Linked DNA regions of Coturnix japonica. The protein of the gene in region 2 purifies or fractionates together with the protein of the main gene of each other region. This does not show direct contact. Links are inferred from orthologs where the notes say so. Each region holds a gene or a part of one and is shown on either strand. Other genes may lie near its edges.

The links.
Region 1: the proteins of CLGN (region 2) and SLC30A1 purify together in Homo sapiens (co-immunoprecipitation; 3 studies listed by BioGRID and IntAct, with this or other methods). This does not show direct contact. The link is inferred for Coturnix japonica from reciprocal best matches to the Homo sapiens genes CLGN and SLC30A1.
Region 3: the proteins of CLGN (region 2) and SLC12A2 purify together in Homo sapiens (co-immunoprecipitation; 3 studies listed by BioGRID and IntAct, with this or other methods). This does not show direct contact. The link is inferred for Coturnix japonica from reciprocal best matches to the Homo sapiens genes CLGN and SLC12A2.
Region 4: the proteins of CLGN (region 2) and TCTN2 purify together in Homo sapiens (affinity purification with mass spectrometry; 3 studies listed by BioGRID and IntAct, with this or other methods). This does not show direct contact. The link is inferred for Coturnix japonica from reciprocal best matches to the Homo sapiens genes CLGN and TCTN2.

The regions. Positions count from the first base shown.
Region 1 is NC_029518.1:19,573,900-19,582,107, reverse strand, and holds the start of SLC30A1 (zinc transporter 1), read right to left. Parts: upstream 5,000-8,208; 5' UTR 4,974-4,999; coding exon 4,352-4,973; intron 1,476-4,351; coding exon 559-1,475; 3' UTR 1-558. UniProt on the Homo sapiens protein: Zinc ion:proton antiporter that could function at the plasma membrane mediating zinc efflux from cells against its electrochemical gradient protecting them from intracellular zinc accumulation and toxicity.
Region 2 is NC_029519.1:26,013,405-26,020,853, forward strand, and holds part of CLGN (calmegin), read right to left. Parts: intron 7,010-7,449; coding exon 6,951-7,009; intron 6,219-6,950; coding exon 6,077-6,218; intron 5,277-6,076; coding exon 5,195-5,276; intron 4,430-5,194; coding exon 4,237-4,429; intron 4,127-4,236; coding exon 3,937-4,126; intron 3,245-3,936; coding exon 3,131-3,244; intron 2,566-3,130; coding exon 2,409-2,565; intron 2,011-2,408; coding exon 1,795-2,010; intron 298-1,794; coding exon 178-297; intron 1-177. UniProt on the Homo sapiens protein: Functions during spermatogenesis as a chaperone for a range of client proteins that are important for sperm adhesion onto the egg zona pellucida and for subsequent penetration of the zona pellucida.
Region 3 is NC_029547.1:50,492,797-50,500,245, reverse strand, and holds part of SLC12A2 (solute carrier family 12 member 2), read right to left. Parts: intron 7,077-7,449; coding exon 6,977-7,076; intron 5,689-6,976; coding exon 5,577-5,688; intron 4,104-5,576; coding exon 3,963-4,103; intron 3,774-3,962; coding exon 3,667-3,773; intron 2,233-3,666; coding exon 2,153-2,232; intron 849-2,152; coding exon 708-848; intron 17-707; coding exon 1-16. UniProt on the Homo sapiens protein: Cation-chloride cotransporter which mediates the electroneutral transport of chloride, potassium and/or sodium ions across the membrane. Plays a vital role in the regulation of ionic balance and cell volume.
Region 4 is NC_029530.1:4,195,116-4,201,602, forward strand, and holds the start of TCTN2 (tectonic-2), read right to left. Parts: upstream 6,374-6,487; 5' UTR 6,300-6,373; coding exon 6,221-6,299; intron 6,042-6,220; coding exon 5,928-6,041; intron 5,650-5,927; coding exon 5,576-5,649; intron 5,279-5,575; coding exon 5,083-5,278; intron 4,857-5,082; coding exon 4,756-4,856; intron 4,519-4,755; coding exon 4,322-4,518; intron 4,093-4,321; coding exon 3,954-4,092; intron 3,714-3,953; coding exon 3,578-3,713; intron 2,936-3,577; coding exon 2,870-2,935; intron 2,218-2,869; coding exon 2,089-2,217; intron 1,823-2,088; coding exon 1,745-1,822; intron 1,446-1,744; coding exon 1,365-1,445; intron 938-1,364; coding exon 826-937; intron 482-825; coding exon 378-481; intron 9-377; coding exon 1-8.

The DNA.
Region 1 (8,208 bases), on a different chromosome or scaffold from region 2:
AACCTTCACATTTTTTATTACGTAAGTTTAAGAAAAAAATACGTGAAACTGACAAAGTGGTTTCCAGTTTTAAGAAGTTAAATCTTTAAAAACGTTCTATTGACTTTGGTTTCCTTAGGGCTTCTAAATAAACAATATATTAAAATATCTACAAATCAAATATTAAAGAAAAAAGCAGGTCCAAGAAATCTGTAACACAAATTGAGCTCCTATCTGCTTATCCCTCAAATATCTTCTAATTGGAAAAAAAATAATAATAATAATTCGAAGCACAACAAAAAGCGTCTCGGCTGAAATGTTGAAACTGGTTTTCTGAAGTTGTTACAGCCTCGGTGGGTGCACTTGGTGTCTGTCTCAGTACAAAGTCAACAGAAACGGTGTATATGACAGTGACATCATGTTCTTTAGAACAAGCATTCTAGATTTAGCAATATGACAAGAACGAGGACTTCAGCAATTACACTACTTGGCAAAATTGCATCTCCAACATCTGTCTCTTCCTCTTGCGACGCAGCTGTTGTCAAAGTCACCAAAACTCAGGTAGCACCATTCAGGGAGTTACAAAGACGATTCAAACTGCTCGTTTTGATCGGTGTTTGCCTCTAGCTTAACTGCAGGTACACTCTCCGATTTAGTCCTTCTAGTTTTGTTATGTGGAAATTCAATGACAACCTCTGAACAAGAAATACTAAGCGAAGAAGATTTTTCTGTCTTCTTTCCAGCGTTATCTTCTATTGTTCCACAACACTGCTTCAAAGCACACTGAGTTCTGCAAGGAAACTCGCATTTCCCTCTCCCTGATTCAGAGCCAACGCTGGCAAACTCGGGCTGAATGGTAGTTGCATGAATCCCTTCATCGTGAAAGATCTCTTTGATGCGCTTTGCCACCATCATGTACGTGGAAGGGTCAGGACACTTTATGTGAGCTGTGCCAATGATCCTACTGCCCGCTAGCTGCCAAATGTGTAATTCATGCACTGCTTCAACTCCTTCAAGGGTACGCAATTTTGAGTTCAAAGAATGAACATCTATTTGTTTGGGAACAGTCTGTAGAAGTATAAGGGCCGATTCCCTAAGTAACGGGTAAGTTGTGTAAAGGAGGATACAAACCATAATCAAACAAAGAACAGGATCTAAATATAGTAACCAGCATGGACCAGCCACTGTAATGCTCTCTTGCTCAGACTTGTTTGCACTGCCGAGAGGTTGGGATAAAGTAGCATTCTCCACGCAATGGCTATTGACACATGGATTAAAGCAGGGCCCATCTTTGGGACATGGATTCCACAAACCATAGAAGAGCAAGGCATTCACTACGACAATTACTGAACCTAAGGCATCTCCAAATACATGCAGAAAAACTCCCCGCATGTTCAGCTGTGCGCTGGAGTCTTCCTCAACCTCTTCAACATCCAAAGGATAATGACTAGCGTTCCCATTCACTTGTAGGTCCGTCGTGTCATCCTTCATATCACCTGACAAGAAAGTAGTAGAGCCATTAGGCACATGCTGTAACAATACACATTGCTACAATTCCATATATAAAAATTATCAACATTAACCCTGCCTCATGCAGCACAAAACTGGAAAACAAGCAACTTGGCCCACTACACTTCTATTTTAACAGAAACCCACTGCCACCTTTTCCAGGTGCTTAACCATTACAGAATCACAGAATTGTAGGGGTTGGAAGGGACCTCTAGAGATCATCAAGTCCAACCCCACTGCCAAAGCAGGCTCCCTACACCATGTCACACAGGTAGGCGTCCAGGCGGGTCTTAAATATCTCCAGAGAAGGAGACTCCACCACCTCCCTGGGCAGCCTGTTCCAGTGCCCAAAGGAGGGTCCTGTTGATGCCCAAAGCCGTGCATTATGAATTATGTAATTCATAAAAGAACATTTTTGTACCCTCTCTCATCAAAAAATGGGCTCCATCACACCCAACAAACTAGGTAGGAACAAGCACACACACCATTATAAAGAGGCAATGTGAAAGGAATCATTTTCCAAACTTCCAAATCGGAATTATTTTACATGATTAACTTCTTATGCTTCTTCAGATCTTTGGACAGACAACTTACAGTGCTAAAGAAATGCAACAGGCATTGACCAATGGCCTGACAAAGTAAAAGAAGCAGCTCTCCCTGCTTCAATGGTTATTGAGTTCAGAGCTTTGTAAACATTAACGTGTTAATATGACCTACAGCTTTTGTCCCTCTGCACTCATGACTGTAATTCTGTGATCATAAAAGTGTCTCCAAGGCCCTTCCTCTCCCAGGAAGGAGGCAGGCACACACAGAGGTGGCTGAGAGGTAGGTCAGGCCCAAGCCCTCAGCTCATCATGCTTCTGTCCTAAAGCTCCATCTACATCTTCCACAGAGTTTCTAGGAGTCACGGAACAAGGAAACGTCACTGAGATCAGTAATTTTCCAGAGAAATGAGTAAGTTAGAGGAAAATATCTCGAGTTACAGAGTTCAGGCTTTGGGGTTCACAATGAGGGCACAGAAACAGGACACTTGATCCATCTCCATAGCAAGCATTTGGGACAAAGGAGATTTGGAGAGACAGTGGATGGGGTGGATAGCAAGAAGCAAGGTTCCAGAAAACTCTGAATCTTTTTAACAGTTCAAATATCTCAATTTGAATTTTGACTCATTTCAAACTAACTATAAACAGATTACTTTACACAAGATGTATGCACAAAGATGCCTGTGCAGGACTAACCCCTGAGGCTGTTGTGGGGATTTCACTTCAACCTCAGGAGAAGGCAGCCTACCCTTCTTCACAGCTCCCTGCTGAGGTACAGCACCAACTTCAGACATTGCCCTGATCTTCACTTGCACAACTTACAGCTTCTTACAAGTCTCCACACACCTTCACCTGTGACACCTCCGTGGGCCAACAATGAATAACTCCATCCCTTACATAATCATGACATGGCAGAGAAGGAAAGGCAAACTTACTTGAAAGTTTCCCCATGCCCCAAATCATGCCTTGTTACTTGCTAAATGCCCACAACAAATTATTCGCTACAGCCAGGACACCCACAGCATACGTTTTAATCCACAAGAGAAGCCAATCTTTTAGCCTACAACTAGACAAGAATTGAGCTGAAAGCACAACTTACATTTCGACAGGCAAGAACAACTCAGAAGCCAAGGCATCAATTAGATCAACAGCTAAATGAATCTTACACGGTTTGAATCTAATTACTAGAATACTTTTGTTGGGACTAACATGACTTTAAGAGGTTATTTTATTTTGTGGTTAAGAAAAGAGTGTAATATACTCAGAGGAACTTTCAATCTTCTCAAAAGCAACAGGGAGTCAAAACACTAAAGAAACTAAGGAGAAAAAGAGGAACTCCAAGTTTCTCAGATGCCCATGGGAACTTCTGACCACTGAAATACTGAAACCATAGCAAAGTTCACTCCGTAGAGGAAAGAGCAAGCTAAGCTCATTCAGCAGTCTCTCCTAATGTTGCCCTGAGAAAAAAAGGAGATACCTGGATCTGAGGACTGAGAAAAAAGGAGAGGTGTGGGTCCAAGGACTGACACTTTTTCTTCCCTGTGTATAAGTGAAGTGGAGAAGCAGCAAACATGCAGCTTCCACTGCCACGCAGCATTCAGCTCACACCAAGTGACTTCAAAACAAGCCACCCAGGCTTCTGGATCCACTAAAAAACCAACCTAAGACATTCCCTCCCTCAAAAAAGACAGTGTAATGAGAACTAGGGGGAGAAGATTTTAACAGACAAGCGAATGGGAATCTTCACGCTTTGGAAAGCTAGAGAAAGCAAACTTGAAACCACACGTGTGCTCAGGAGCCAGATAGCTCTGCATTCAGTGCCTACTGCAGGACTTCCTCAGTTCCTCAGTCTCCAAGATTTCTTCCTACACACGCCTCAAAGAAGCACCTCATTACTGGAATAGACTTCACTACGCTACGTCCAGCGGCAGAAAATCTCTCAGGTAGCTGACACCTAAAGCAACATAAAGCCCTGGCTGTCAGGACCAAGGCGCTGAGCTGCACATTGATGCACAGCCGGTTCAGCTGATGGGGCGCTGCCTTGTGACAGGCAAACACCGCTTGTCACGCGCCTCCTCTGCCAGCACCAACTTCTCCCAAGGCAAAGAGTGCTTCACCCCAAGCTTCACCCCTGACCCGCCTGCAAGAGAAAGGCACGACCCAGGGCGCTCCTTATAGCGCCTGCTGAAAAGCTTTGATGCCGAGGTGCCGCCCGCCCCGCTAAGCAGCTTCCCTAAGGAAGGACGGGCGGCCCCACCGAGCTCGTGGGACGGGACCTGCCCCGTTGTCCCGGCACGGGCGAGAGGCGCTCGAGGTCTTACCCAGCTTGTCCTGGCTGAGCCCGTTGGAGCCGCTGCAGTTCTCCACCAAGGTGCTGGTCTCGTCGCGGTGCAGCGCGGCCTCCCCGTCGGCGGGGCTCTGCTCGGCCTTGCCGCTGCCCCGGGGGAGCCGGGAGCCGCCCCCGTGCGCGTGGCCGTGGCCGTGGGAATGGCCGTGTCCGCCGACGCCGTGGTGGTTGAAGAGGCAGAGCCCCAGCAGGTTGATGACGAGCCCCGCCACCCCCACGGCGATGACCACCAGCGGCTGCTGGATCTCGTGGGGCTCGGTGAAGCGCTCGATGGCCTCCAGCAGGATGGTGAAGCAGAGCGCGGTGAGGAACACGGCGTTGACCAGGGCGCCCATCACCTCGGCCCGCACCCAGCCGAACGTGTTCTTCTTGGTGGCGCGGGTGCGCTGTGCGAAGCGCACGGCCACCAGCGCCACGACCAGGGCCATGACGTCGGAGAGCATGTGGAACGAGTCGGACAGCATGGCCAGCGACGCCGTGACGCGGCTCACCGCCACCTCCACCACGAAGAACAGGAACGTGAGCGCCAACATGCACAGCAGCCGCGCCCGACGGTTCTGCCACCACCGCGGCCCGCCCGGCCCCTCGGCCGCCATCCCCCCGCACGTCGCGCCGGGCCGAGCGACGGCGGCCGCCGGCCCGACCCGGCCCGGGTGCGAGGAGAGCCGGCGAGCGGCCCTCGGCGGAGCCCCGACGGACAACGCCGCTCCGTCTCTCCGCCGCCCGACCCGGCCGCTCGGCCGCCGCTCCCAACGCTGGCGCCGGGCGAGCAAACTTTGCACCCGAGCCCCCTCGCTCTTTCCACACGGAACCCGAGCCGGCACGGACACGCCCCCCAGCCCGCGCCCCATTGGCCGCCGCCCCCCGCCTCGCCCGCCATTGGCCCGAGCCCCCTCGCGACGGCCGGCCCCTCCCCGGCGGCACGGCCCGGCGGCGGGCGGGGGGGCGGGGCTCGGAGTGACGGCGGCCGCCATTGGCGGAGCGCGGCCGCTGCTCCAGTGCGGAACCGCCCCGCGGCCAGCGGGACTCGTGCAAAAGGTGCCGCTGCTTCACACGGCACCCACGGCGCCAGAGCGGGGCGGGGCGGGGCCACCCCTGAGGGACGGCACGGGGCGGGATGCGATGCGCCTGAACGGGCCGGGGGCGGCTGTGGGAGTGGGGGCTGAAGGGCTCCTGGCCCGGCCCTCAATGGCTCCTGGTCCGGCCTGAGGGGACATCGACCCTCAGTTCCATCCCGCTTCTGAAAGTGCTGAGCAAATAATGTGATGAGCCATAGCTGTAAGTATCACAGTTATGTGGTTTGTAGGTACATGCACAGTCACATACATGCCCAGGGAGGTGGTGGAATCTGCTTCTCTGGAGATATTTAAGACCCGCCTGGACGCCTACCTGTGTGATGTGGTGTAGGGAGCCTGCTTTGGCAGGGGGTTGGACTTGATGATCTCTAGAGGTCCCTTCCAACCCCTACAATTCTGTGATACATAACCATTCATAGTTATATAACTTCTGATCATTAATTGCTTAAATATTCCGTCGGAAGGAGGAAGTAATTGCGCTTGAGGAGGTTTTGGAAAGCTGTAGTCTAACAGAAGCATTCAAACACTTATAAATCAGCCCGTAGATTTCCATTGAATTTGTGGTCAAGGAAAGAAAAAGGATAGAACCACTTTGGAGACTTCTGGAAACATGACAAAAATGCCATCACAAAAATGACCGAATGGCCGAGTTGACTCCTTCCTTTACCAGCAGCGTTCCAGGAGGGCCAGCAGATACGGCAGCAAGGAGCAGGGACCAAGAACGTTCCTTGCACGGGTGGACAATGAAAAGCAAGGTGACAAGTAGCCATCGCTGCTTGTAATGTGGAGGTGTAGCTTCATGTCTGCAGTGCACGCAGGCAGTGTGAGATCTGGTGGTTGGGAAAGATGTAGCAGGAATACAAGAGCCTATTGCTATGCCTGGAAGTTCCAGAAGGATCTTGATGTGGGGGCTGTGCAATGGTCTTTCACAGCTGGAGCAGACTCAGCACAGTTCCATCAAATCCATGTGTGCTACCATGCTGCTCTGGTCTTGGCATGCCACTGGCTCTTATTCACTTACACTGTAGTGTATGTACAGGGCATGACAGGCATTCCTGTACTGACCCATGAACTATGAACCCTATTTTCTGAGATTGTTCTTACCAAAATCTAGGTCTGCTCTGTTTTCGTTTTAGCTTAGGAAACCATATGGCATGTTTTAATGACTACCAGTACGTCAAGAGTGCTGCAAGGGAGTCAGCAATCAGATCACTGTAACGTTTTCCTCATCTACTTGGCTTCCCTTGTGCCATAGTATCATTTAATAAGGTGGTGTAGGTAATTGGGAAGCTGACCGTCAATTACACCATTACAGTGCAACATGCTCTTGTCCTGTGCTCCTCACCCTCACACATGGTCATTAGTTATTGAGATAGACTTGCCAAATGTAGGATATATGGGTCAAGGAAACCAGCACAACTTAAACCTCCTTTACTTCATTGGGGTTAATTTTTTATAGGGATTGGTGTTAATCCAGTGGAATTTGTGTAGCTAGGAAGAGCGAGGAGTTTCATGTCCCTCACTTACTAGACTTGAGAATTACTGAAACCAAGTCTTCGTTGGTTCCCCTCAGCTGTCATAGTTTTCACAATGACTGGAAGTACTGGGTCTCCTCTTCTCTGTGAAATCATCTGGAAATCAATATCAGCACCATCCTTACCAATAAAACTTGACTGACCTCAAACATGAACTGTATAAAGACCTTTGTTGGCATTCTTAGTATGTGAACAAAGCCTAGATGAATTTGGGATCCTTTTAATATTTTTCTTTTTGCCATGAGGCCTCCTAATCTGCTCAAAGATCCCATGAAACTGGTCAGTCTTCTGCTGTTCTCCCCTTATGGGACAGCAAGATCTGATCCTGCCCTTGTCCAGGAATAGCTTTTCTTGCTATTATACCTGGCTGAATACTGAATTCTTCCTCGGGCAAAAGTCCACAACGTAGGGACTGTATTTCTCAAGAAACAGGAAGGATATGATCATTTGCCAGGCTGGAAGGGATGATGGTTACTCTAGCCTTCTAGTGCTCCCACTGAATAGGGCCGGGCATCCAGATTTGCTCTAGGGGGCCCAGTAGTTACTGTTATCTTCACTCACTTGAAATGCAGGAACTTGCATTAACAGTCCCCAGCTGTATCCTGGTCTTGCTGCTGGACATGGTGAACGCAGACGCTTCCTTAGCCCCAGAATCTTTCTCATGAACCAGTGGGCCCTACACAACCTTTCCTGAGCTTCTCTGTTGTTTTACCATGTATCAGCATCCACAAGGAACAGGGATTGTCCTAAATTTAGGACTGTCCATGTGGCAGCATTATACATTTTAAGATTGATAGGAAGGTGACTGATAAAGGTACCTAGTTACATCTTAAGAATGTGTGCTTACAGGAGAACATTTTGTTCTTTCTTACGAGTTAGAGGAGAATACTATATCTTCAAAGTAGGGAGGACTGAGGTTTTTTTATTTTGTTTTGCTTTGTGGGTATTTTTTTTTAGGCTTCCAGGCATTGTGACTAACCTGATTCTTCTCCAGGCTCTGTTTCCGTTCCACACGTGTGGAATGAACAGTTTCCAAGGCTGCTTGCTTACTGAAAATGCTCCATGTTTTGAGGGGAGAAGTGACTCTGAATCTCCAGTGAGCTGCCTCGTACCACCTCGGATCTGGGTGACAAGATAGGAAAAAGCAAGACAGAGCTGCTTCGTGTTGCCTGTTCTGAGGCAAAAATTTCTGTACTGCATGCTGCTGAACTCTCAGACTG
Region 2 (7,449 bases):
AACAAATTAGAAACCAATTTATTTAAACTCAGATTAAGAATTAAACACAACTATCACTAGGAGCTAACTAATATCAGTGGCACAGTAAGAGAGCATACTGTTGTACAAATACAAGGAGTTTTAAATGAAGTATTAAGAAAGACAGAAGAAGAAAAATGCATTAAAAATTTCTCTAACCTTTGCCGGCCAGCAGAACAACACACATAGACCAACAGGCAGAGCTAAAGTCAAGATATAGAGAACCCAGAGCCATGGATGGTCTTCTGCAGCAGTCACCAGTTGACTAAACATTCCAGGCTATGTTAAAAAAATAAATAAAATTGCATTTATATCCCTTTCAACACTTAGATAAGCTTATAAAATGTATATATTTTAATATTCACACCACGCAAAGAAAATCCTTCAAGTTTGAGCAACCTCATGTTTTCCATTCTCCCCAGCTTTTTTACTCTTTCCCCATACTGTGCCAACACAACCAATAGTTCCCAAAGCATCAAGAACCTCAGAGGAACAGCCAGCCACTTGAAGAACAACATCTTGCTCTCTCTGTACTGCCACTTTGCTTCCTCTGATAGCCAATTAATCAGACAGTCAGCTGCCTTCCAGCCCAGTTCTTACTTATGGAGTAGTAGGAGGTAGGCAAGTCTTGGTTCAGTTAGACTCTGGGAAGGGGACATCAGCAACCAAGGTAGAAAGCTACAGGGGCAGCGTAGCAAAGGGACTTCAGAATTACCTTCTGCTGTTGTATGTGCAAATACAGATGTAACTCCAGACATAGAAACAAATATTTGAAATGTGCAAGGCTGTGAAACAAGGGGGCTTTCCTAAATTGCACGGACAGTCTGTTGCTACTTTCTCATCCTTTCTGCAAGAAATAGCACCTGCCAGAGACTGACCATACTTACACAGCCAATCCATCATTTCTTTCATATACCCACAGGTCTGCCTTCATCCCCCAAAGTAAATACAGGGCTGTCAGAACAAACCACTCATGAAAGTGGAACAGGCTTCCTAAAAAAAAAATAAAAATGATGCCCTATGCCTGTCAGTATTCAAGAGACAATTTCAACAATGCCACTTAAAATCCTGTATGGCCCTAAAGAAGTCAAATAGCCACGCTCTGAATAATCTTTGAATGGTTCATTCCAACTGAAGTACTCCCTCTCAACTGCAGTCAGCAAAGGCAGCCACTAGAGGGGCTCACGTTCCCATCTATTAGGTCAAATTCATTCTATGACACAGGGAAGAGATCTAGAAAAACTGGTGACTGGCCAACTGTAGTAAACAAAACATGGATGTATACACACAAACAGAAGAACAGATGCAGCTCCATAAACACGCACATGTTATTGTCAGAGTTGCATAACATAAGATCCAAGCAGACAGAGACATAATTTACTAAACACAAAAATACATGACTATTAACCACTTTTTATGATAGGAGAGCACATCAGAAGCACATAAAAAGAAGTTAAGTCAAAAGTGACAAGTTTTAAGTATATAAAGAGGCCTGGTTGCAAATAAATCAGCTTCCATCTGCTGACAGGCACTGAATTGTAGTACCACCATTAATAGTGGAAGGTGCATCAACTACAATGAAATGTTGCTACATTTCTTGTAAGATACTTGAGTAAAATGTTGTACCCTTTTAATTTCAGTCCAGTATTGATCAGGGAAATATCATAGCTATTCTGTAAGATTATCAATCACAGAATAATTATATTACAGAAAATTATTCCAACAGAACTCCTTCCTTGCTACTTCTGGTTATCAAGAATATAATAAAATTGATACCTCATTAGCACTTGCTACTAATTTCTTCAAGCCCCAACCGTCTGCTGCCCAACGATCAGCGACTTCTTTTTCTGAGCATATTATGAAGTTATCAAAGTAGATATCAGATGTCATAGACCAGAGTTCTAAACCAATAGCACTGATAGGTGTCATCTCAAATGGGTGAGGATCTTCAAAATAGTCTGGGTTAGGTATTTTCCGAGGACTCCAGATTCCCTTTTATGGGGAAAGAAAAACATGTAATAATATTATCTATACCACAAAAATAAACATAAAAAAACCCACTCACAACAAAACAGGAAAATACATTTTAATGCAATTAAGACTTTCTGATTATTTCAACTACATGATTTAAAAAGCAAAGGGTAAGCCTCTGAACTTCAGGAAAACAGACCTGGAAACAACCTATGGAATTTTGGCAGATAGGTCTCAGATTTTTGGCTTAGGACAGACAGATTTCTCTTAAATTCAAACCTTTTTCCTCCATATTGGGTTATAGTAGTAAGTGACCATATCAGGTTCAGTATGAAGGGCCAGACATATGTACTAATTTTACTTTTCTGCTTGGTTGAGCTCCACATCTCTTAAATAATAACCTACAATATTGCTAGTACCTGATAATTAGGATTAACTATCATAGGTGCTTTCCATTTTCCTTTATACTTGGGGTTGTTCTTCATGGGACGCACCCACAGTCCACAACCAGGTGCAGTTGCACACTTTGGATTGGGGACCTGAGGAGCTTCCCACTCCCCATCCATTTCTTCATCCCTACAGAAAGAAAGGTACAAATAACCAATTGCAGGTTGGTCTGATCAGAACACTAACATTCAGTATAACTTGGGATCCGTATGTATTTTGCTGTAACAACCTCAGAATTTGGCTAAAGTTCAGTGGGCTGATCTAACTGCAATGTACATTTTCCAGAGGACTGAATGCTTTAAGGCCACACATTCGTAACTACTAGAGCATGGTTAAATGCAATCATACTCCTACGTCTGCAGGCAGCTTGCATCATTTCCATATAACATGCTTTAGGACTACTACATGACTTCAAGCATCAGCTTCAACTGCTTTGCTGCTTATCCCCATGGTAGGTTCTTTCAAATAGCTCCTTACTGTTTACAGCTCTTCAGAATACAAGGCAATTATTGACACTTGCATATTTTTCTAAAGGTAGCCTCACAAATCAACAAATATTCAGCCACACTTGTTATGTTCCAACTTAATATGGCAGAGACAGTGGGACTGGGATAAATTCTAATTTACTCAATGTGCCAGAGAACAAGCTTAGCTACAAAGCACATTAACAGATCCACGTGTATTAAATTCTTACCAGTCCTTCGGCTTTTTTGCATTGGGGTCCGGAACATACTGTGGTTCATAATCAAGCCATCCTTCGGGCTTAACAGCATCAAGATCTTCTATTTTAGAAGGCTCATCTTCATCCCTTCAATTACAGACTACTGTTAGGAAATACATCAGCTCGACTCTGAACCAATGTTCTGTTCAGAGGACTGTAACTGGTATGGAGGGGATAATATTCAAGGGCACAACATAGTTAGATGTGCCTATAATGAGAATTAGGTACCTACTTCTCCGTTTATAAACATTTAAACTATAGATTTCAAGGCACTTGTTAGCCCAGAAATAGCTGTCATGGACTGGCAGGTGCGTCAATCAGGTCTCTCCTTAAAATGTTTCCTTTGTTTAAGCTGCTATATGAACAGTACTTCAGGAAGAAGGAAGTATATGTACAACATCTGACCTAGCAGTGGCAACCCTGCCCACAGCAGGGGTGTTGGAACTAGATGGTCTTTCCATCCCTTCCAACCCAATCCACTCTATGACTCTACTAGTAGTGGAAAAACACTCTTCCTAATCCTTCAACTACGGTGATCTTAGTTACAAATTGCATCAACAGAAAGTTCAAATCAGGAAAAGTCAAGATTTTACTTCTTTCCTTAAAAGATGATCAGATCCTCACACTCCCACTTCAGTTACATTTTTTCAACTGTTAGTATTTGTAAAACATATCCCAACTGTTGAGAGCAAGAAAAACAACAAAATAAAGCCAAGCAAATATTATAAAGCAATAACCTGCATACAAAATGTTTTCTACAGATGAAGCTTTCTCCTTACCAGTCATCTGGTTTGACAGCGTTGGGATCAGGTATTTTTTGTCTCTCATCCCAGTCCTCAGGCTTCTTATCAGCAGGATCATCTATTTCTTTGGGAGGGTTTATTGGAGGAATCATATCCTCCAGAAGACTTCCCTTACTGATGACTGATTGGTCGATCAGCATTTCAAACGTATCATCTGGTTTCAGCACTACATTGAAGGAATTTACATTAAAGATCAATTAATCTTTAATTAATTAATTAATTAAATTAGAAGAGATTTTAAAAAATTAGTTTAAACTTGTAAAAACTAAACAATACCAAGAGTGTATAGGTGTGTCTTCTTGTCCAGATAGAACTTCTTTAGGTCCACATCGGGACGTTTTGCATGTTTTTCATCATATTCTCCAGTTTTAGGATTCTTATGCCTGATGATAAAGTGTAGTTTGTAATCTTCACCACATTTATCTGGTCCAAACATAATAGTATAAGGCGTTTTGTCAAAAAAGAATTCCTGTAGAAGTAAAAAAGTTAAGCATGTGTCAAACTGTACATTTTATCAAGTCATTTGGAGTACTGCATTTCCAAGCTATTGTGGCATATATACAACACAGTTACATTTTTCTAAGAGGTGTTTGACGTGGCCTCTATTCTAACACTGAAAACTGGCAGGGTAAATCATGAAAAGAATTTAACAGATGTTATGAGTTGCTGAAACAGCCTAACTACAGAGATCACTGAAGCCTCCTCAGACAAGATGAATGGGCTTACTAAGTCCTTACCCTTACACTAAGTTGAAATGCCTGCCACAAATCAAAACAGCCACACATACTCTTCTGTACATGTTACACTAAAAGATGGAAGAGAAACAGTTTCTGTTCTTCACAGCCATTTATATTTCAATAAAAATGAAAAACAAGGTATTATTACCCAGCATTTTAGCACTGCTTTCTTGCTCCACAGTAAATAATAATAAGCAATTCTTAAAATAACAGCTTGTTTTCTTCAGAGCATCCTGCATTCAGCTGGTCCAAAATTTCAGTTGTTGTTTTCTTTTTTTTTCCTTTAACTATATAATTTATCTACTTGGAATGCACAGTACCAAGCTATGTTTTTAAGCAACCGCTTGAAGGAAGACCACTTGATTTCTGCAAGTTATCTTCCTGTGAGATACATTCTACGGCAGATGTATTGTCTGCGATGGATCTGTATGTTTATTTAACTTTAAATATGCTAATTCCTCAAATGAACAATTGATAGCAAATGTAAAGGGGCATACCAGATCCAAGTCATCCGTACTGGAGAGAAGTTTAATATACGCACCACCACAGTCAATGCCGCCTTGAAAATTCACTTCGTATCTAGGCAAAGAGCAAATTAAAAGACACATTCCTCATATCAAACATAAATAATCTTCCTATCTGCAGTTCTAATTACAAACACATTAAAATCATGTATGAGTTGCTTTATTTTTTTTATTAGGTGCTACTGTCAAAATATCCCGATGTGACTTTAAGGTTTTTAGTTTCCACACAGACACATTAGCAACCTCAGCCAAAAAATATTTACAGTAGTAATTGCTATAGTTTTTATAGTCTATATATATAGTTTAGTTTCTATAGTCTATATATATAGTTTAGTTTCTATAGTACAGAAAAGTTTCAAACTTGTGTTGACCTGGAGGTTTAGTGGCCCTGCCTGCGGCAGGGGGTTGGAATGTGATGATCATCCGAGTCCTTCCAACCCAGGCCTTTCTGTCATTCTATGACAGTGAGGCAGAAAGAGTTCTAGGAATTTGATTCTCTCTTTGAAACTGCCAATACAGCACTTTTAGCTAGAGGGATCCAAATTGTTGTAGTTGAGTTACACAAAAATACTCTGCAAGTGTAAAAGCAGCGTACTCAAATCACGAGTTAAACCTTCATTTAAAACAAAAAATTAATTAAAATATAATATAAAATGGTAACTTACCACCAAAATATTTCTAGAGTTTGAATATAACTTCTTACACTTGAACTACAATTTTACTTGCTAATTATCATTCGTACTTACAGCTCTGGCTATGTCAGTCAGTGATATGCAAAAGGATTTGCATGACTTCATAGACTTAAAGACTTGAAGCACAGTAGATATCAAGCACAGAATCTGAGGGAATACTTACTGAACAATCAATGGATTTTTATCAAAAATAAATGTCTTTGTTAGCATAGCTGATATTGCGTGATGCTTTGCAGCCGATTTTAGCACTAATCCTTTGTCTCCAGGTACTGTGTTTTCTTTCAGCTCTTCTACTTCCCATCTTCCTAAAAGAAAGAAAGAAACAAACAACAACTATGCGATCTCCGGGAAAACAAAAAATGTTTTTCTTCAAGCAGGCTATCCATTTTGCTAATTTCCATCTCTAAGAACTAGACATAAGTAAATCCTTTGAAGAGACATTATAGCCTTGTGGCAAAGAGAAGAGTTCACAGCATATAAGACTAATTGCCAAAGTAGGGAAGAAGTCTTGACATTCGATGTCAAAGTTAGAAGTTTAATAACAACCATCCAATAGAGCACTGATAATTCTTCTTTGGATAGAAGTGATTATATAGGACCCTATACTTCCCCAAGCTTTAACTGCTCTGCAGCACTACAATACAAAAAGAATGTTAATGGCACACACATTTGATGCTCACATCTTACTATCAGATCACCAATACAGCATTTCAACCAGTACTTCTCAGCAATTAGAAACCACTAGAATTCTAATTCACAGTAAAGCCAATAAAATAACAACATCCCCAGGTCAGAAGATCTAAGATCTATCTAACCCAGTATTTGGGCTCAGACAACAAGGAGAGAAGAAAGCTTAAGGAAAAAAACCTGAAAGTAATAGAGCCAGAAGTTACAATAACAAGAAATAACAAGCTTCTGCTTTTAAGTAGGTTTCTGAAGGTAAGTACAGCACAACAGGTATACAGCATGAAGGAGAGGTATTTCACACAAAGCAACAGATCAAACATGCAGCAAAAGTAAACATTAAAAGCACTAACCATCATATTTAGCAATGTTGTCATCTGTGTCTTCTTTCTTGGCTTCAGACAACACCCAGCTAAAACAAGAAGCATTCAAGTCACTTAACTACCTATACAAAGTTGTACTATTTAACAAGCGCAGGATAAACAGACTGAGCTTCTACCAAGCGAACTTGTAACATGGATTTCAATGGTCAGCATCATGGAACTTGGTGTAATTTAAAGAATGGGAACAGGAAAGTTACAAGTTTAATACGACACTCATTTTGAGACACTTCCAAAGGATCTAAATGAATGTACAATTACACCCTGAAAAAAACACATTCACTCCAAATAAACTTGGGTTTTAGCTGTGACCTGAGGCTGACAGAATTTAATACTAGAGGCATATAATGTAAAAAAAAAAAAAAAAAAAAGTGAATAACAATGCCAAAATAAGACATCTCTGCAAGTCATGCAATGACTTTCAAGGCCTGGTCTACAAAGAGCTACTCTATGCTGATGCAATTTCATAGAA
Region 3 (7,449 bases), on a different chromosome or scaffold from region 2:
CCATCCTCGTCCTCCTCTGGAGATTTTTAAAGATACAAAATAAAAAGGTTAATATCCTCTGTGATGTTAATGAAAACAGTACAAGTGTATAAAAAAAAAACAAAGGAAAAGAAAAGAAAAATGAAAATGAAATGGATTTTCATACAAAGAAAACCACACGAGTTTGGTCTACCATGTTCTGAGAATAATTTGTATTTGAACACAATAGTAACTTAATCATATTTCTCAATAGTTAAGTCAGCCCAAAGTTTTACTTGCAAAAGAAGAAGAAAGTTGGTTATTGTCATGTCAAGTATCCCAGATGATTTGTGTTAGTTAACATGCAGATAGAAATATACTCAAGCCTGAGGTGAAAACCACCATCATGAATTAACCAGCCTTAATCATGCTGCTAACAAACAGCTGTGAGGCCCAATTCCCAAGCAATTTTTATTGGCATTCAATCTCATTAACTAAGAAACAAAAAAAGGTAGTGCTGGCCTTAGGCCATCATCATTTTTATTTAGGTCATAAAAATATGATATACATACTTGTAAGCAAAATATTTGAGCTATTAGATATCAGCACCCCAAAAAGAATGACAGTTTCTCTGTTTCACAAATACAACAAAAACATCAGAAGGAGAGAGGGACTGAAGAGGAAACAAGAGAAAGAATGAGAACTCAAATTTCACTGCTAACTAGCAGTTAGCTACTTTAGCTAGTTACCTCTATGTGGAGCAGGAGTTCTCTCACTAGACGATGGCACAAAAGCTACAGAAGTGTCTGTTTCAGCCTTCTTGCTATAATCCACCTTCACTATCACATCCTTGGAACATGGAGATTTTTCTTGGGATGACAGTAACTCTTCTTTGGGAAAGCAAAGAAATGCATTATAAACCACTGACTTGTCCCAAATAGTATAAGATGGAGGTCTGTGACTATAATTAGATGGTTTTCATTTAGCTAAACAGCTCAATCCCACTGCCCCTATCATGCTATGGCAAAGGGGGAAAATAACAAAAATAAACCTCTACCACAAATGAACAGCTTCTGAGTACAAAAAAATGCACCTGCTCTGAACAGAGCTTTAATCTCCTTCTACTTCCAAAATTTTAAGCTTTGAATACATTACTGAAGGCTAAATATCAAGCAGAGCTACCAAACACTGAATTAGGACAAATGTCATGTTTGTGCTCATTACCATTAACATGATGTGTAGCAATGTAATGACAGGACCTCTAGCTTAAATAGAATTTGAAAGTGGGAGCTAAATATAACTGAGTAGTATAACTGCTAGAAGTATTTCACATTGTGGTTAAGTTTCCCACAAGAGGAAAATCCTCTTAGAAGTACTGGATTTTGGTATCTGTTACCAGCAAGCACAGAAATCCAGACAGTGTAAACATAATGTTGACAAGATGTGTTAAATCTGAAACACACCACAAAAGCACTGCATTTTTACCATCATGTTAATGGAGTTACAATACTGGTTACATCTCACATTGAGATTCCTTCTGTTTACAATCAGAAAGGAAAAAAAAATTTAAAAAAAAGTATTTGATGAAGCATTTCCCATGCAAAAAAAGATTGTAAATTCTAATTCCAAGTGGAAGTTGATCCTTACACAAGATCCCGAAACAAAATGCTTCTCAGTTTTTTTCCAGGCAAGGCTCCAGTGAAGCTGTTTGGTAACTGCCAGAGTTAAAGCAAACTCATTGCCTCAGTGGGTACTAATACCTGACACATCTTGAAACCCAACAGATTACTGTTGAGGTCTCTAAAGTATGTAGTAACGGGGTACACTGAAGGAGTGAGAGACACATGACCCATACTACCTGATCAGGCAGCCCACAACTAGAATAACTCAATGCCAATTTTGATCTTCAAAGCATTTCAGAAAGAATACTGAAGTATTTGAAAGTTACAGCTTACAAACACAGATAGTTGAAATGCACAGAAAAGTATTTCTATTGCTCAACAAGGGTTATTTTTATTATACATTTTAGCTTTACTCATTCCAGTGGTTTTTATTCTATGAAAAGAGTGGTGTGGGAGTCTTGACTTTTTTCCACTTTTTTTTTTTTTTTAAATAAACCATTTTCATTTAGTATTTTCAGAAAATGGTTTCAAAAGAGAGTAACAGCTGATAATGACAGGAAACAAAATCTTACCTTGCCCCTGAAGGTGAGAAATGTCTAAGCCCTCCTTTAGGCGGATGACAACCACACCATATTGAATGTCAAAGGCATCGCTAAACAGAGTAAACAAGACAAAACATTTTACCCCTTTCACAGAAGATCTACTTTACATGCACTCTGTAGACAAATATTAATGATTAAATGTTGCTATTTAAATTCCCAAGTCATACATTTGTTACAATTTCAGTTTTAATTCCAAAGGAACAGACAGAAAGGTTATCTTTCCTCTCTCTCCTATATAGAACAGTGATAAAAGAGTAACAGGTCCTTCAAGTTCCACACAGACGATGACAAGATAAACTGGAAAATATAAATGATGCTGGAAAGTGAGACATCAAAGAATGGATTTCTTTCGAGATCTTCCTGAACTGATAGTTATGAACTTCCAAGACATTTGGGTATTAAAGGAATCTATGAAGTTTTAAGTTATAACGAAAACAGCTACTAGACACTTATTTCTATTGTACCTGATGGGGAAGAAACTCACTCTTTTAAAGACAAAAAGCTAGAAAAGCAAACTTAATTACTGTAGAAAACAGAGTAATAGCCAGAATTAAAGGCTAAGTGAAATGAAAGACAAAAAGAATGCCCAGAGAATCACTTGACTGGGCAGGTCACAAGAGCTCTCCAAGTACAAGACATTTCAAAGTAAACTATGAATAAAGTAAAAAAGCAAACCCAAGTACTAACCAACACACTGCCAATTTTCCCAATCTATTTTGTACTCTTTTTTTTTTTTTAGGAACTGGAAGTGTGAGTGGGTGTGCTTTTTCCTTTTCTAGTATCTGCCTGTAATCCCTTTCCATCATTCTTTCAAAGGCATAATAAATAAGTGCAAAGCACAGATGGAACAGGTTTAACATTATGTTAGGAAACCAAGAAAAAAGCCCTCTACATAAATGCAAAAGCTCTGTTTTTCTAAAATGCTAGCAGTAGCAGTCAATACTATTTTCAGACAGAACTGGTCTGCCTTTCAGTACTACCAAAGTACTGTCAGATTTCCTCTCTTCTACCTTTTAGCTACTTTTTACTTTTGGCATCAATGCAATCCATCTACACTAAATATCTTAAAAGAGGGCAAGCTTCAGCCCCACAGTTGATTCATTCCCTCCACTCAGTCTGCACAGGGAAAAAGTAGTAAGAAAACCCCCACTTTGAACAGAAAATAGTCTGATGAATTCAGCAGACATATAAGACACTGCTTCTTTCACTTAAGACAGGAACAGTTAAATCTCAGACAACTGCCACAACTCCTTCTGAATGCAGGAGTTATGTGGAAATCTGGTCTGCTGAAGCAATAAAGAGTTGCTCATATAATTTCTTTATCAGGAAAAAAACCTAACTTCTCTGTACAGCAGTATAGACAAGTTGATCTGAAAGACAGGAGGAGAGCTTATGTAAAAAAGACATTGAAGTAGAAGTTTTTTCACATCTTAAGAAATGTACTGAAATGGAACAAATGCAACCTCTCTGCATTTTCTACTTACTGGAACAAATTAATGTAGGTTTCAACATCTCTCATGTCACTTTGTCGCCAGTTTTTCTTAAATCCAACAACAAGAGTATTTGGTCTCATTCTACCCAAACCAGCAGCCTAAGGAGAACATAATATATTGTTAAAATCGCATTACTGAAATAAAGGTAAGATTATTTATTTCAAGCAGAAAATAAAGATTTGAGAAGTTATTTTTAAGAACTTTACATAATGAAAATACTTCAAAGTATTTTCTGCTTTTTGACATACAATGCCCCCATTTCCATTAAGAAAAAAAAAGAGGTGCACCTGCATTAAATACTGTCCCCCATCCCTCAAATCCTCTGCATGTACTGGTGCATAGAAAGCCTTCATCTTGTTTTTAATTAGCCATCGCTGGTATTTGGCCAAATCAGTTGACAGCTCCTTCATGGCTTGCCTCCGAGGACCCTTTCAAAAGAAGGAGACACGAAGTAGAGTGAACAAGACTTATGAGCAGAAGTAAAGCCCTGTTTTTGGTGTGGTTTTCATTTTTGTTTGTTTCTTTTTTTTTTTCCTAAAGCTACTTTACTGCTAGAGTTGAAATCAAACGTGTCTAAAAACAGGACTGCAATTCTGCTTATGACCATAGATAGAACATATTGCAAAGTCATTACTTCAATTTTTTCTTTACTGACCTGCATCAGCACACATCACTGTGCTCCTCCTAGACATCAAAATACTGAAGTTACGTTACTGAAAACAGAATTGGGCAATATCATCTTAAAAGCATACAATTGTGGATTCCACTAACCTGATTTACTTTAAAAAAAAAAAAAAATCTTTTTAAAAAAAAGATCAGAAGCCTTATTTAGAAAACGTGGTTAAGTTGAAGCATATATAAGAGTAATCAAGGTTTGTATTAAAAGTCACACTTTAAAGGTTGCATTTGTTTAGGTGTTCTTAGTACTGCGCCTGCAAAAGAGTGGCATTAAAATGTCTAGCAAAAACTTCACGGTTCTGAAGTGCACTGAAGAGCATACAGTAACATTTAATAAAGATGCAACAGCTACACTGCTGCTAACTGCAGTTCTGGGACAGGTGGTAGTGCAACAACCACCTTGATTTAAGACAATTCATCACAACACGATTTTGAAGAACAGTTCTCTGAAGTTTGCTTTCTTCTGTCTCCCTCAGTCACTGTTGTTCAGTGCATGATACACACATTCTGTTCTTGTGCTTAAAGTGATTATGTTTTGTTTTGTTTCCCCTCTGTAAAATAGCAAGAAGCGCTGAAATTATGTCCCTGAAGAACAAGCCTTCTCCCTATTCCCAGAACTCTCACATCCTTACAGTAACAATGAAAAGTTAGTGAAATACTCAGGACTGGTCAGAAACAGAAAGAGGGGAGGAAATAACTGTTAATAATAACTAGAAATAACCGCTGTTTCACCTTGCCAGTGGAACAAATCAGTTAACTGGAAGGATGAAAGCTGGTCAGAAGCTAAAATCAACTCTAAATTACCAGCCAAATGATACAAAATGATACTCAATAAGACTTACTTTAGGCTAGGCTGTATAAGAAATACTGGCATAGCAGTGAACATATCTGCTTAAATAATTTTGCAAAATTTCCCCCTCTTACACCACATTTCACGCATAGCCATCACCATCTTTACCACTGCAAAATCCCTTTAACTACAAGTAGATGTTAAAAAGCATTTAGCACAGATGTCTATAATACCTGCTTTAACAACTTTCATAATTCCCTCAAATTGCAGCACACCAAAGTGGGGATGGTGATGACATATACATGAATAAATCCTACTCTATTTGAACACCTCAAGATACTACACCATTTTTCAAAAAAGGAAAGAGACAGTTTTGTTAAAGGAAAAGAACAAACAACAACATAATATAACATTAAGGATAGAATACACTTACCATATGTACATGTCCACAGATCATTAAACCCACATTTTTGGTAAAAGCATGAACAAGATGAAGTAAAGCTGGACGTGCATTTGGGGGACCTGTCATAATTAAGCACTGCGGCCTAAAATTGTGAATAAGAGTAGGGAGAAGCAGTTATAATATCGCTTATCTTGAGAGTTTACATAGTTTAGAAAATCTTATTCTAAATACTGGTCTCGGAAACACAATCTTCAGTGAAAAGTAACCTCATCTATTCTTATAAGACTATGTTAAATTAAGCAAAGATCAATCGTCCACAAAGTGCTCTTACAAAAAGATTACTACTAAAGCTTCTGTGCTTACACCTGGCAAGAAGACCAATACCTTCCTCGCAAAACAATTAATGAAGTTTATAACTCAAAAAGCTACATATTAACTTTCAAACAAAATAGCTCAAGTTCTTCCAATGGAACCTAAAAATGCATACTGGCCAGCAGAGCACTCTATCAGCACAAGCAAGAAGTTTTACTTGGCAAGAACTTTCCTATAATGTCTACTTCAGCATGCAACACTAATCACAGCAAGGTAATATAAATTACTTATGCCAAATTTGAGATTTGCATTAAGACTGAAAAGGGCTGCTCTTGACAGCTAAGCAACAACAAATCAGTTTCTGAAGTCAGTCTGTTTTGCTGATAACAGTACAACTTAACATCAGAGGTAACACAGCATTTGTAAATAATCAGGAATTTTAATGCCTATGGATTTCAGAAACAGCTGTTCCATAAACCATTTCCTCAAAGCCTAGTAAGCTTTTTAATTTATTTATTTATTTATTTTATTTAAAGCGTATTTTCTCTGGAATTGCCTACTCCTATGAAGAATAAATAATGCAGGATATTGCCTACTTCAGTAAGCTCTTCCTGGGTTGCTGTCAGTCAAACTGGCTGATAACAAATCAGTTCTGTCCATCAGCTGCGTCAAACACAAGTGTAGTCTATTTACCACAGCAACAAGAACATGTCTGAAGTGAAATTGGTATTGAGGACAGTATACACATCTATTGGATTTTAGCTTAGATCATATTTAGCCTCATGTGAACTGAACACTTATTAGCAGTTGGGAGGTCATCTTCCAGTTCACTTTCATTAATAATGAATACAATTCACTGGTCATGATGCAATCCATGAAAATACAATGTATCAAGACAATAAATAAATGGGCAACGTTCATTGGGTTGCTTCTGAAATGGACTCTTGATCTGAAATAATATGTTCATGTAGTCAAGTCCAGACAATCTCCATGATGCTGAAAATCAAAGCTGTGAAAATCCACAGCAGGTAAACAGTTTAATTGAAGTCATGACAGCAACCACTGTGAGTCTACCCTACAGATTACACAGCGTAAATAATTTACTGTATAAAACTTACCTGAAGTTTTTCACATGATCTTCCACTCCAGAAAGACGAATAGAATGCTGCAATGCGTTCAAGTAAGTCAAAGCTTGTGTTGATGATCCCCAGTTCACATCTGTGAAAATTGAAGTTCCACTAGTTTAACATATAGTTATTCAACATTTTTTTCTTAAATCATGTTAACACACAAGATTTAAGCTACACCTAAACGTGTTCTACTCTACACAAATCTCAAATTACATATGCAATTCTATTTAAAGATAAAACTTGCATGGAAGTTTTGGCAAATAAAAGTTTGTTATTCTACAATTACAGGAAGAAAGAACTGAGTTTTTTGCAACATTAAAGAGAATAACTCTTTATTATAACAAAAATAAAGCTTTCGGAAAGAATATAGTTAGAGATATGCTACATCACAGCAAAGGAAAAAGCAATCTTAAAACACTGTCTCAACAACTTAACTACTTTATGTAAAAAACTTGTGCACT
Region 4 (6,487 bases), on a different chromosome or scaffold from region 2:
TTCCAATCCTGTGGAGGAACAGAGTGAAACAGAAATCCTATGCAAAATGATCTCTTCCATATTTGTATTACTGTCATATTGCAGTGAAATGTTGATAACTGCTGCACAAAATGTGTTTTCTATACGAAATATACATGAAGAAGTATGGAGTTCAACAGAGGAGTAAAACACCAAATCATTACATCAACAGACTGACAGACACATCACTCTACAGCATCAGTATATTATTAAACACATCTGTACATATCTGGATGCATGGACCCAGGTACCTTCAGGCATCTGAAATTACACGTTGGCTTTATTTGGAGGTGGTCCAATCCTAAGTGCATCTTTTTATAGCGACGTGGGCTGTGAATAAAACTACAAGTATCACTTACGTATAATTTGCACCCAGTCTTTGGGATTGCTGTCATTGGAATTGCGTCTCTTCCCAACATGAGTAGCTTGTATTAACGAATTCAGTTTCTCGATTACATTTTCTCTGCCAAATAAAAACATCAGCTCATACAAAAAGCAAATCTACAGCATGAACTTCGTTACAGCATCACTATGCCATACAATGTGTCCTCTGACAGATGCTATTACTCAGTTAAAACAAACCTCAACTACTGACTCATCTGCCCAAGGGAAGCACTCCACCCCAACGTAACCCTCACTTAAATACATGGAAATCTGAATGAAACCATTTTAATAGATTTCCCTTTAAAAAAACAGAAGAGGGTCAACCACAGAAACCTGTGACGTATACATGAACTTCTGAAAAGAATGCAACTGTGCTGATGGTAGAAACTGGTAGCAAGTGAACAATAAATCTGTGTGGCTCACCTTAAATGGCTGCAGTCTTCATTGACATCAACTTCCAATAGGCACCCAGAGAAAGAATCTACCCCGAACAAAACTGGTGTGTGAGTGGCTGACGTACACAGACTTCTGTCAGCTATGAATTGAAAAGATCCTATTTAGGGATCCTCACAACGACCTTTCAACTCCCACTTCTCATTTTTGTGCAAAAATTGCACATATTAGGATGCAAAACAGCAAGCAGTGTAATTCAAATACAGAATCAAGTCTACTCAAATTCCATTTTCCAACACAGAGCAAATTCACACGCTCAAGAATCTCATGAGCTTAACAACTGCTCGGTTTTAAACCTTAACTTCATACAACATACTCAGATGTTTGAGGATACTGAAGCTACTTTACATTCATTAAATGCAAATTCTTCAATTAAGCTGGAATAAAGGCTAGAGAATAGCGTAGAAAAGCACAATTCGGCATAGAATAGATTCAGAAGTAAAACATGTATATGAAGGCAGCATTTTAGCATTTATGAAAGCTGAGGGTGTAACCTTACAAATCAGTACCTGGCTGCCAAATGCTTAAGCTGCCAGCAGTATCAGAAGCATTCACATTTGCAGCTCTCACTGCGTTTCCAACTTGATAACCTAAATGCAGAAGGAGTTGTGAACATTTTAAATGAATCTATAAGCATTAACATCGATTTAATAATGCACGTAATTAGTCTCAAAGCAAACAGACAGACTTTCCATTACAACAGCCCCATTTTAAATGATCAATACTGAGCCTAAAAGCCAATCACTGTAATTACAGCTGACAACACAATAAGAGGGAAGGAGGGGCACCAGCAGAACAAGTATGAACAAGGTACAAAACGTGGTCACTGCTAATGACCAATCTAGTACCAAAATCTGTTCTTCTATGAAGCAAACTGAGGTATTACTACCTGGATTATTGGGCACTTCTGCTGCATTATCACTCTTTAATCTTACAAATTCAGCCGTGAATCTCTGCGTCAGCATTTCTGGTAAAAGATAAAGGAATGACTTTATGTTCCCATACATAAATTAGCAGGAAGTATGCTGCTTATTTAGGATACAAATTTCTGTCCTACATGAGCACCAGAAGATTCAGGATAATAGCAATTGGCAGAAATTTGCCCCATACATTTTCTTTCCAGAGTCCAAAACTCTTTTTGATCAATATTACTAATTAAGATAAACTATCAAATAATTTACTCACTTAAGAAATAAAAAAAATAGTAAATCTGTACAAGAAAAGTCACAATACCTCCACCATATAGATTTCCTTGGAAGACTGTGACATTCACTCCCTCTATGTTGTCACCTTCACACACGAATGTATAATGCTCTGCAAAGGTTATACTTTGCAATGGAATGCCCACGGTAGGAGGAAATTCTGCAGAAGAAAGAAAAACATACCATAACCAAAAGTACTGCCAATTAGAAAGCTGTAACTGAAAAACAACTTAAAAATCTCTAACAAAATTCTGGAAGATAAATCATTCATCCTTTTAACATTTTTTTTTTACTGTTTAAGTCCCATCATACAAGGACAGTGTGCTGCATTTACAGTAGAATCCCTTCGTTTATCAATATTCTAACACCTGCAGTTCTAGCTCCTGTTGTAGTTGACCCCTTCCTTAAGAACCCAGCACAAGGCCTTACTCCATCAGCTGCTGGGGCCCTCTGGACTCAGGAGTCCCTCTCTTTTTATCTCACCCTGCTGAGAGGGCCATCATCTTCCAGAAATACATGCTAGTATGGATTCAGCACTATCCTGCATTACCCTCCCCACTGACTGGGAGCCACTGTTCTAAAATAAAAGCTGCTTCATTGGCTCCAGAACCTTAAAAAGGCACAAGAGTGTTCAAAATTCAGGCACATCCAGCACTGCTTACAGGCTGCCTGCCCTGCCTGCTTTGTTCAAATATTAGAATACACACAAGATCCTTCCTAGGAATCACGACAGGTAAATGTTTTAGGCACCCCAGTCACTTGTGTCATCCAGGTTAAGAAAGAAACACACTAATTACACAGCAGAAACATACCACTTTTAGTGATGAATTTGTCCCTGTCAGTGACGGTTTTGTAGGTCACATTTTGTTGGATGAAGTCTGAGAATAAAAAACAAATGCTGCAGTAATCCTGATAAAAGAATCATATACAACATTCACATCCAAAGTACTCCTTTTTGTTATAGAAACTGTGCAGAAAAGTATTTAGAAAGCCAGTTTTGGTAATAAACCAGGCAGGTTATGTGTTAGAGCATAGCTAATTATCTCTGCTTCTTACTAAGGTAGTGTAAATAAAATTAGACAACGTAATTAAACAGCATAAAATAAATTCTCTTCATGTTGGTAATTGCATCATCTCAAACTCCAGAATGACATTTCTTATATTTATGCTTTTGTAATGCAGAGAGTAAGCACTTCTAATTCTAAAGTGACAACACTGCACCCTCTTGACAGAAAAAGGAGGTTCCAAGAATACAAAAACATGATGAGAGATGCTTCCTTGTGCCACATGCAGCCATATGAGTCACCAGAAACAGATAAATGGGAAACAAAGGCTAATCCCACTATTTCTCCTATCCCAAGTCCTGGGTAATACAGAGAAGCTTGGCAGGTGATCAGAAATAGGACTATAACATCCCTAAACACTGAACTATAGCCATGTAGCTGCCACGTCAACAGTCCTCTCGTTAATTCTACTTCTGAAGAACATAACTACATTTCTGTTAGGACTATGCGACATACCTCCTGTTCCACTGTTGATTTTCACATCATGGGACAGTCCTTCCTTGTAAGATGCTGCATCAGAAAGGCACCTCACGTCAAAGTCCTGCAGAAACGCTACAGGGGCATTTCCAGCACACTGCCCTGCCAGGGACGGCTGCAGGTAGTTGAACAGAAACGTATGTGAGCCTTAAAGGCAAGGAAGGGGAGGGGTGGGCAGGGGATGAGGAAAGATAATTATTGTTATTAACAATGATTTTGTGCTTGGTGAAAAATATATTCCACCAGTTCATAAGAGCAAGTTACAGAATCTGGTTACAAACACAAAAGAATGTGATAAATGGAGAACTTCAACTAGCCAAGAGGAATCAGAAGCTCCTAAATATGGAGCAATTACCTGAGGGATGGTAAAATACTCGTCATCTTCTGTCATAATTGGATCTCCTGCTCTGTAACCAGTGAACACTTTCCCAGGAGAAGCCTGTACAGGGATCCTAAATGGACGAACTCTGGGTGCAGAACTTCTGGGTGCAGAACTGCAAATAAGTTCAAAAATGAAACAATTCTTTACTCCTCACATTACATGGTGAATTAAATATCTGCCTTCCAGTCCCGTGCTCTCAAAGTACCAATTATATTTCTCCATTTACATTTAAAGTGATCGATTTATAATTTCAAAATAACTTTCACTGTAAAAAATACATGCTACAGTTTCAATGTAATGTCTAAATTGTGTATTGAGGAAAGAAATATTTTCAGACTTACACAGAGCCATCATAAAAATAGCCAAGAAATGGTGTATTGCTAAGAGAAGACTGTATGCAAAGGAAGGGAAACCAATCAGGAGTATATTCTGTTGTCTGTGTGGAGCACAGCTGATCAAAAGGTGGGTTTACATCCCCACCAAACACTCCAGTGAAACACGATCCATTGAATAACTGCTTCAAGTCTGGTGTACACTCCTGGAAGGGAAAAGAACACCTTAATGCCATAATTGCACCACCACGGCCTCTAGTGCTGTATTTGCAGATAACCAAGCCAGCCCTGTAGACAGATGTCATATTTACTATTAGAAATACCACAAAACCCAGGCAGACCCTATTTCTACTTTGAAATACTCAGTAATTCTCCCTCCAGACAACAGAAGGAACATAGAAATTCTAAAACCATTTCATCAAAGTTTAATATGAAATAAGTACCGGATCACAGCAACAACGAACATCACAAGCTCCATCTGTCAAGTCACAAGGACATGAGCCCAAGGGCTGAAACACCTGGTTAGGGATGACAGACATGATTTCTGTAAGAGAATTACAAGAAAAGAAGAGAAAATTCAGGTCATACAGACTGGAATCCCAAGAAGCAGACAACATGCATTACAGCCAATCCCACCTGCATATAAATCCTTAAATGCTAGAGAAATTTAATCTCTCATTGCTGTCCAATTCCCAATTTTACTTTTCTTTTTTCTGGTACAGAAAGGGGAAGTAAATACCATTTCTTCCTCAGGATATCCAAGTACTTACCTGACACATTTCCCATAAAGGAAGAGTTGGCATATATTTCAGCTTGAATTATGAGACGTGCCAGCATCGCCGAACCACTGCAAGCTAAAACCTGAACTGTTTCCACCACACAGAGAGGTGCTGTGCAGCAGTCGGTGGCATTGGGCAAACATAACTGGAGATTTCTAGTGAAGGTTACAGTCACTTTGGATGAACCCTGCAAAACACAAAATGATGGATTCAACAGCTTGTACCAAATTACTGTTCTTTGTATCATCACCTGCCGGGAAGCACAGGCAGTTCGGGAAAGGAGAAAGACAAGAAACCAGCATCAAAGCTGCACCTTAGCAACTTCCAACATGGGCATCCAGATGATGGGACATAACAAAGGCAAAAAGGGAAGGCACTCTAACTGAGCTGTCAGTAAACTAATATTACATTAGCACTTCATCAGCCTTTAATATATGATTGCTCAAGCTTTTCTATCTTAGGGCAGAAGCAGTGTTTTACATACCACACCAGCTGTTACACTCAATTCCCAGTCACCAGCTCTTTCATTTCCACCGCAGTTTGGAAGGAGCAAATTTCCTGTATCAAAATTAAAACATAACAAACACATATATATATTATTAATATATATTATATATATATATGTATGTTATCTGTTTCACTGTCACTTCAAACTTCTCATGTGGGAATGGGGCACCAGAGGGACCCTCCCAACTCCAACAGTTCTGTGATGATTCTTTGAACTGCACTGCAGTTATTTGGGTAATTGTAATGACAACAACAACAAAAAAAAGTTAAGAATTCAAATATATTTATTATTTTTCGAAATAGCGGGTAGATAAATAAAGTGTTCTTACCTGTCTCTTTATCGATAGCATCTAAAATAATGGAAAACGTAACTCCTGAAGAATCTCCAAGAAAAAACGAATTGACTCTTAGCCCAGACATGTGGATAAAGGAAGGCTGAAAAACTGGGGGGGAAGAGAAAGTTTAGAAAAGAATCACATTGTAACACAGAAACCCTCAAAGCGCCGCATCTGGGAGGCACACCAGGCCGAGCCCCCTCAGCCCGCACAGGCTGCTGCGGCCCTCTCCCCTCTCATCCCTTCCTTCCCCTTCTCTTCTCCTCCCCTCGCCCCCTCCCACACACCGGGCTGCCCCGCACACAGAGCCGCCAGCAGCAGCGCCCCGAGCCCGGCGGCCGCCATAGCGTCACTGAGCGCCGCCATCTTGAGGCGGCACTGCTGCCACGGCAACCAGGAGGGCGGGAATCACCCGCCGTGCCACAGACCGCCTCACAAACACCAACAGGCCGAACAGCATCCATGTCTGTAAAAAGAACTGCTTTTATTCCAAAAGGTGTTGTAAGAACAGAATTATAGATACAACTTGCAAACAAAGTGGCTCCTGGCGACGA